Nothobranchius furzeri: one gene and its partner. The protein of the gene in region 2 interacts with the protein of the main gene of each other region in a biochemical or structural test. Links are inferred from orthologs where the notes say so. Each region holds a gene or a part of one and is shown on either strand. Other genes may lie near its edges.

Region 1 (3,611 bases), on a different chromosome or scaffold from region 2:
ATGGTATATTTTTTACAGTAAGATGCCCAAATTTTTATTTGAGACTCGCCGAACGGCATTGAATTCACAGATAAAACAGATGTGGGTTCAACTTTCATTTTGGAACAATTTTTCAAGGGAAGGGCATGATCTGAGCATGCAGGAGGACTGACCCATCTTAAACCTTTGTCGGCTGTGCTGAAGAGAAAGGTACAGAACCAAATTATTTAATTAATTGGCTACGCGTTCTCCTGTCCTCTGTCATCCGGGCCACACACACACACACACGGGACTGTCTCAGCTGTTATTTTCGTTAAGGAGTGTGCACGTACAGCATGCGCACCTCGTGCATGAGCCTACTATTGAAGCTGCCGTCACGCTTTTGGCCTGAGGGGGCAATCGCGAGCATAAACATTCAAAACTCCGTAAAGTCCCTTTTAAAGGTCCTATATCATGCAAAATCCATTGTTGAATGTTTGAAAGAGTGGGTTGTGAAAATAACTTCCATTTCACAAAAATGACATCTCAATAATGCCAATGGTAATATTTATCATATAGTGTGCCTACTATTGCTCTGTAAGGTGTGAAATAGCTGCATGCAGGTCCTTTAAATATGATAAAGTTTCTGAATAGGAGGGCTTACTGACCCAAACAGAAGATATTCATTAATTGTTTCACGTGATTTTCTTTATTCGTTTAATTGCAAAAGGGTCAGTACATAGCAAGGGGGTCCAATCAAGTGCATTTAAGGTACCCCTACAGTATTACCTGGATAACAAAGTGTCTCAGCTCTTTGCTTTATTTACCCTAATACAAGTAGGAAAACACTGGAATGATCTTTTATTTCAGTCTTGACCTCCATCCTAGCCAAAAGTGGTGTTGTTCCAGGCCACATTGGCTGCATCCATGTCCACAAAATTGATATAAATTCTAAAACAGACACCAGAAGAAAGAGGTTAATGAGCAATGAATAGAGGTTGTGTGTTTGATCAAGTCCTACAAAGAGGATCAGCATGCTGATGGGCTACTGTTACCTGTCAGCGGAGACTCCCAGGTGTTTGTTGAGCAACCCACACAGTAGTTTTGAGTACTGCTTGTTCTGGGCGCCACTGATCTTGCCGATGCTGTGGAGGGAGCACAGAGCGCAGGGGTCTCCCTTTCCACCAAACATCATCATTTGGTCAGGGTTAATATTCACAGCAATGTACTGAAGAAAGATGAAGGGAAAAAAGCAATATTAAGTGTCAAACCTAAGTGAGTGAACAAGTCAACAGTTCTTGAAGCAAAGACAAATATTTTTCCATTGTACCTTTACTAATAAGTCTCCAAAAATATTTGTCTGTACAATTTTTTTCCATATTGATGGAATTTAGTCTTTTATATTGAAAGATTTACAACAGCGCTATTTGTAACATTCACTTTTCTGTAGATTTAGCTTTGTTGAAGTCTGTCATTCAAAATCTTGCTTTAAAAATGTTATACTGTACTTTGCTATCGTTTCCCTCAGAATTTTATTTTTTTTCTTAAGATTTCTTTATAATTAATATTTAGATTTTTGAACCTTTAAGTATTTCTGTGTTGAGTTGTTTTGGTGTTTATTTTAATCTTAGTCTTTATTTTTCTCCTGTTGTGGATGTGGCAAAAACATTGCCTCAAAAAAAGGAGGGATTTTCTTTTCTATTAGTGTTTATTTTCGTTTACTTTAAAACTATTTTATGTTATTATGTTCTTTATCCTTTTGAGTTTAGGTGTTTTTTTAATGCTCATCCCACTCTGAAGTAATTTTATTTATTCTTTGTAATTCACTTTATCCATCTTGCATCTGGGAAATTTGGACCAGTGATATATAATCCAGATTAATTCATGTAATTATTTTCAACTATGCAAACTGATCCAAACTGATGAGCCGCTTCCGTCCCTGCAGGTAATCTCTAATGTTATATTAGCATTTTGACAAACATTCTTTCATAATGGATATTATTTAGTATGGTACTGATGTGATTTAGTATATATATCGTTCCATATATAATCAAATGCATCATGGTAAATGATCTGCAGGGTTATAATGGTCTGAAGGAACATCTTCCTGACCTACCTGAGCAGGTTTACCCATCGCTTTAGCTAACTCCTCCGTAGCCTCGGACAGCAGAGCCGCAGGCACGTTGCTTTTAGCCACGTTGGTGTTCACCACAAACATCGGCATGATTGCTTTTTATTTCTTCTCTCCAGCTCAAGCTGCAGACGTTCTTCGTCTCTTTCCAGATCGTAAAGAAGCCACGAGAATGACCTCTTCCTCCTCCTTAAAAATGAAAAACTAATTGACCACAGCGCCACCTCTCATCCTGGAGGACACATGGCAACAAATTTTTAGGCCACATTAGGTCACCAACCTGAAGCTGAGAGCTACTTTCAGGGTTGTGACTGAGCGTTAACCAAGTTTGATACAATAGTGAAAATTTGTGAATTTTGGATTAAAAAGAAATCCTAAGCCTAACCCTAACCCAAATCCAAATCTAAATCATTGATTGGATCAGAAAGCTGGTCTTTAATAGAAACATAAACATTTTAAGGGAAGTTTGCACTTTTGTTGTTAAGAACTTTTTTAATTGCAATTTATCAAAGTTTGTTTTTAACTTTTTTGTCGGTTTTTTTGTTTTTGAAGTACCTTTTTCTTTGTATTGATTAAAAAAGTACATAATAATATACAAATATATAACCTTTGAACTAGAATAGATCAGAGTTAAACTAAAATGTATTTACTATAAACATATTTAAATATTTGTAAAGAAACATGTAGGTTTTAAATCTATAATAATGCATTTGCGATTTTAAAAGATGGCAGCAGGTTTGGAGAAAAGGCCTGTGGGCACCAGATTGGTAAATCCCTTCTTTACACATTTACAAAAGCAAATATGTTCTGACCATCTACATATATACTGGACAATTCATTTCCATAGGCTCCAATAACACGTTTTTGTGCAAAAATGGGAGGTGGCCACCACCGCCATTTTGACCGTGTCACAGGTTCCTTCAAGCCCAGACAATTCTACAAAAGGGAAGAGAGGTGGAGCTGAGGGTGTGGCTGTAAGGCTGGGATCAACTGACGACACCCGGTCGAACTAGCTACAAGCTAACCCAAAGCTAACGCAGAGGTGGGAGCTAAGCTAACGGAGGTAGCAACCTAGCTACAACCGGAGTTAATTGTGCACAACACCAGAGCTTCTGAGTCAGAGATACGCCGGGCTGACCGCTGGGTAAAACCGGGTGGAACACAGAGGTCTCCCGAAAGCTGCTGGAAGCCAGCAGCCCACGCAGCAGACAGAAGCCGCGATTAGACAGAGATGCGCAGAGCTGCGGGGAGGGGAAAAACGGGTGGAAAACATCGGTCTCCCTAGAGCTCCACAAGCCGATAGTCGGAACCCAGCTCCACCAACATGTTATATTTCAACCCATTTTCTATAGTGCAGCATTATCACAATGTAGTTGTGAGCCTGTGTGTGTATTTGTTAGCGGCTCCGCCCTCTCGGTCTGCTAGGCTACAGCATTTGTTGCATTTTTCAAACAGGAAGTGGGAGTGGAGTAAGAATCTGGTAGGGGATGACTCATTCTGAGTTATTTAATAAAAACAGTAC
Region 2 (4,357 bases):
GCAGAAAGGCTGAAAACATGTTTTTCGCCTTTGAGGAGATCGGAGGTGTTCCTCTCTTGGACCTTCTCTTCTGAGCTTGCTCCTGGAGGAAGATGTTGTATTCTTTTTTCCTCTCTTCTCGTAGTCTGCCCTGTGAGAGAGTCACACATGTAACTAAATTTTTAAAATGTGCATGTGCACACAAAACATGCACACACACCTTTATTGATGCTCTCTCGTTGATGGGTAAGGAAAGACCCTGGTGCTCCAGCACCTGGGGCTCACAATTTCTGAAATTATATATCTAGAAGAAGAACAGTGCGGATGATGAAATGGTAAAAAAAAAAAAAGATGGTGACTCTAAAGCTGTTTTAAGATTTCTTTACATTTTTGAGTACATCACCAGACCTTAGCAACACAATCTTTGTTGTCCAGTTGCAGCTCCTGTAGATGTTTCTGCTTGTTTTTTTCATAATCACTTCCCAGCCGCAAACTCATGTCCAAACCTGACAAATAAAATACTTTAAAACACTAAAACCCCACCCCCCAAAAAATGCTCTGCGTTACCTCTGTCTGGGTGCGATGCAGGCGCTGTTGATGCTGGACTCATACTAAAGTCTCATTTACTGAACATCATTATTCCTTGGTTGGAAAAGAAATCCACACAGCAAAATTACTGATTTGTTCATTACCTGAGGTGATTTGAAAGTATAGATGTTTACTCACCCAGCTGCTGCGTGGCATTTTAAGGTGACTTTTCTGTGTTTTGCTCCTTTAAGATCTTCCCATCTTACCATTGACCTACATAAGTATATCAGAAGTATAGAAGGTCCAAATTATTCTAAACTTGCAACCATGGAAGGAAAGACGCTAATATGTTTTATCCGCATCTAAAACCCAAACAAACGCTCATCCGGAAGCACTGCACAAAGTGCGTTGCTAGGGGCAACCATGACACAAAAGATAACCCCAGGAGGCTAACTAACGCTGCTAATACAAAATTGTAAACAAATGTGTCACGCATATAGTCTGAAATTAATTTAGAATTTATTATTTTACTTTTTTACACCCGTGAACACGTTTTATTTAAACCGCAAGTTTACTCACAGCTAAGCTAATAGTAAATATTTTTAGGAGCTGGTTTATATTTAATACATTTCCTGAAATATTTAACAGTAGTTCGGGTTATTTTAATTAATGAACTGACGCAGTTTCTAAAGAAGCGTGAAGAAAAAAAGGGTGTCAGAAACAAACCTGCACATACAAAATCCGCCGCTAGATGTCAGTGCGTCATTAAGTGACTCAACAATAGACCTAACTCTCTGTGGGTGAAACCATCTCTCAGAGGGGTGTTTACACTTACACAAACTGTAACTAAATACCTAAAATCCGCTTTGTTACATATTTAATTTCCACACATGATACAGTATCAATCTTGAAATTATGTACAATGTTTTAAAATGTTCAAGAAAGGATTCAGTTTAAATATTGCAACCAAAGGAAACGTCAAACCTGGGAATTGGTATTGTTCACTGTCATGGCTTCCTGAGCGAGCGGTTGTTGGGGCCTAAATCATCTACGCTGAAATATCGCTTTTCTTCGTTCATTTGACTGGGAATTTAAGGGCTTAAATACTGTTTTTTATTATTATAATTATTTTAGCCCGATTAAATCATGATGACCGGCAACAGCACGGCTCAGAAAACATGGGAGCTGTCTAACAGAATGCAGGAAGTCCAGAGCATCGATGAAATTTACAAATATGACAAAAAGCAACAACAAGAAATCCTCGCTGCGAAGCCATGGACAAAGGAGTGGGTTAAATACGGAAACGAATGATGAATTTTCAAACACTTAGTCTTCTGTTGTGATATTTAGGTGTACTTAAAGCAATAGTTCGTTTTTTAGTTATGCCTCTTGTTTGTTTATTAACTGTGCTTCTTCTAACTCCCTCAGTCACCACTACTTCAAATACTGCAAGATCTCAGCTCTGGCCCTGTTAAAGATGGTGATGCACGCCAGGTCTGGTGGAAACCTGGAGGTGATGGGTCTCATGCTGGGAAAGGTGGATGGAGAAACCATGATCATCATGGACAGCTTTGCTCTGCCAGTGGAGGGGACAGAGACCAGAGTCAACGCGCAGGCTGCAGCTTATGAATACATGGCTGCCTACATAGAAAATGCCAAACAGGTAAAATCAAAGCCTGCATGTTGCTTCCTGTGGCGATACACTTCATTTTACATGGGTATAGACATTTTAGAATATTTTTAATTGTGTTTTAACGATACAATGTTAGATTTACCTGTAGCTGTCTTTATGGATCCACATGCAATCAGACGAGAATAAGCAAAGAACACACATGCAGTGGTGCTCTCAGAAAGGTTTTAATGGGGGGCCAGTGAAAATTTTGGGGCAGCACACCCCATTAGTGGAGTTTATCCTGTTGCCATTGAATGCTCCTTCACCTAAAATCTGTTAGTTTCGTTGACAAAATAGTTTTAGGGTTGTTATTTTTGTGACAAATTAATTTTTGTGAACAAAAACTAAAATGTATTACTTCTATAAAGACTAAATTATGACTAACATTGATTGACGCATTACTTGATGAATAAGATGACAACAAAATTTGACTGTAACTAGGGCTGCAACAACAAATCGATAAAAATCGATGAAGAACTGCATTGGCAAGCATGGCCAAAAATGTATTTGGAATTCAGTAGTTTTATAAAACAGGTAACATAAAAACTCAAGCAGGTAACTTTCAGAATGTTCCTTTGGGGCGTTTTAAAGCATCTACCACACACACACAGACACACACACACACACATTCATAATAACCATGTGCCATTGTTATTTAGGGTGGTCGCTTTCTTTTATCTGACTAGAAATAAATTTACAGGAAGTTGTTAGTGACATTTAAAGAGCAAGTCACCCCTTACAAGAAGCGTACTTCACTCCCACTTCATGTTTGAAAAATGCAACAAATGCTGTTGCCTAGCAGACCGAGAGGGTGGAGCCACTAACAAATACACACACTCATGACATTGTGACATCATAATGTACCAGTTTACATCATAGCATACCTCTTAGCCAATAGCGGTGGCAGATTTAAATTCAAATGCAGTGCAGAGTTTTTACCTGACAACGGCACAACACTGACAGTTTCAGGCAGAAAATTTAAATTTTTACTAAAATGCACTAAAGTGCAAAACTATTGACTACACGTGTCTACAACACGATTAGACAAGCATTTATATAGTTTATCAGGAAAAAATAATTGATTTGGGGGTGACTTGCTCTTTAACCTTTATTCTTTTTTATTTAAAAAGAATAACAACAATTAATTATTTATAATGACATTTTTATCATAACTCGACTAATTCCCAGGAATCTATCGAAGGCAACAGGCGTGTGTAAATTAAAAATGTTTTTCTAATAAACAAGTTGGCTCCTTTGTTTAATTAGCAATGGACCGATATGAAATTTTTGGGCCGATACCGATAATAATAATATCACTGTTATGGCCGATAACCAAACGTCGATACCGATATACTGAAATTAATGCTTCTGAAATCAGCAGAATTTGTATAGTCTGAAAATTATTAAAGCTGAATTTATGTTATTATGTACACACAACACACACATTTATGCTTCTGAGATGATTACAACCACTGTCACATGACTAAACAAACACACATCATCCCCCTCACCCTCTGAAACAGATAAACAAGTGGAAACAAGATGGAAAAAATATCAGTTGTTAATATTGGCCTGGTTTTATTTATCGGACGATAACGATATGTTAAAAAATGACTAACATCGGCTGATATTGATGCCAATATGTTGTGCATCCCTAATGTCAACAATTAGATTTAAAACAATATTACTGCTTATTTCTATTTGTATTTGGCAGAATGTTAATTATGAGTGTGAGTGCAATTGTACAGAAGCTCTACGATGCACATTACAAATGCATTGTGTTGGAGTTGGAGCTGGGTGCTGAATTGCTCTGTGTTTTTGCCGTGGTGAATTTCATGCTGGAGTAATAAAACAAAACGTGTGCATCAACTGTTTCTACTACTCCACTAGGGTGTGATAAATGATTTATTTTTCCCTTTTTCCATCGTTTTGAACCGTTTTTTAGGATAAATCTGTTGTTTCTCTAGAAATAATCTTCAGTTTGAAACAGTTTGGAGTATTATATTAACTAGTAGGGAAGCAGTCCTTTTATAAAAATGTTTGTGTCGTATTAAATCTGTACCATCGGTCTCATCTGGTAGGTTGGTCGGTTGGAGAACGCCATTGGCTGGTACCACAGTCACCCCGGCTACGGATGCTGGCTCTCCGGCATAGACGTCAGCACTCAGATGCTCAACC

The links. The genes of interacting proteins can lie anywhere in the genome.
Region 1: the proteins of cops5 (region 2) and mif form a complex in vitro, tested with the Homo sapiens proteins (2 studies listed by BioGRID). The link is inferred for Nothobranchius furzeri from reciprocal best matches to the Homo sapiens genes COPS5 and MIF.

The regions. Positions count from the first base shown.
Region 1 is NC_091741.1:91,262,001-91,265,611, forward strand, and holds mif (macrophage migration inhibitory factor), read right to left. Parts: upstream 2,293-3,611; 5' UTR 2,183-2,292; coding exon 2,075-2,182; intron 1,187-2,074; coding exon 1,014-1,186; intron 910-1,013; coding exon 843-909; 3' UTR 645-842; downstream 1-644.
Region 2 is NC_091747.1:51,742,115-51,746,471, reverse strand, and holds the start of cops5 (COP9 signalosome complex subunit 5), read left to right. Parts: upstream 1-1,494; 5' UTR 1,495-1,653; coding exon 1,654-1,793; intron 1,794-1,935; coding exon 1,936-2,170; intron 2,171-4,260; coding exon 4,261-4,357. Other genes in the region: centrosome and spindle pole-associated protein 1, read right to left, coding at 29-130, 200-283, 388-485, 547-589. UniProt on the Homo sapiens protein: Probable protease subunit of the COP9 signalosome complex (CSN), a complex involved in various cellular and developmental processes.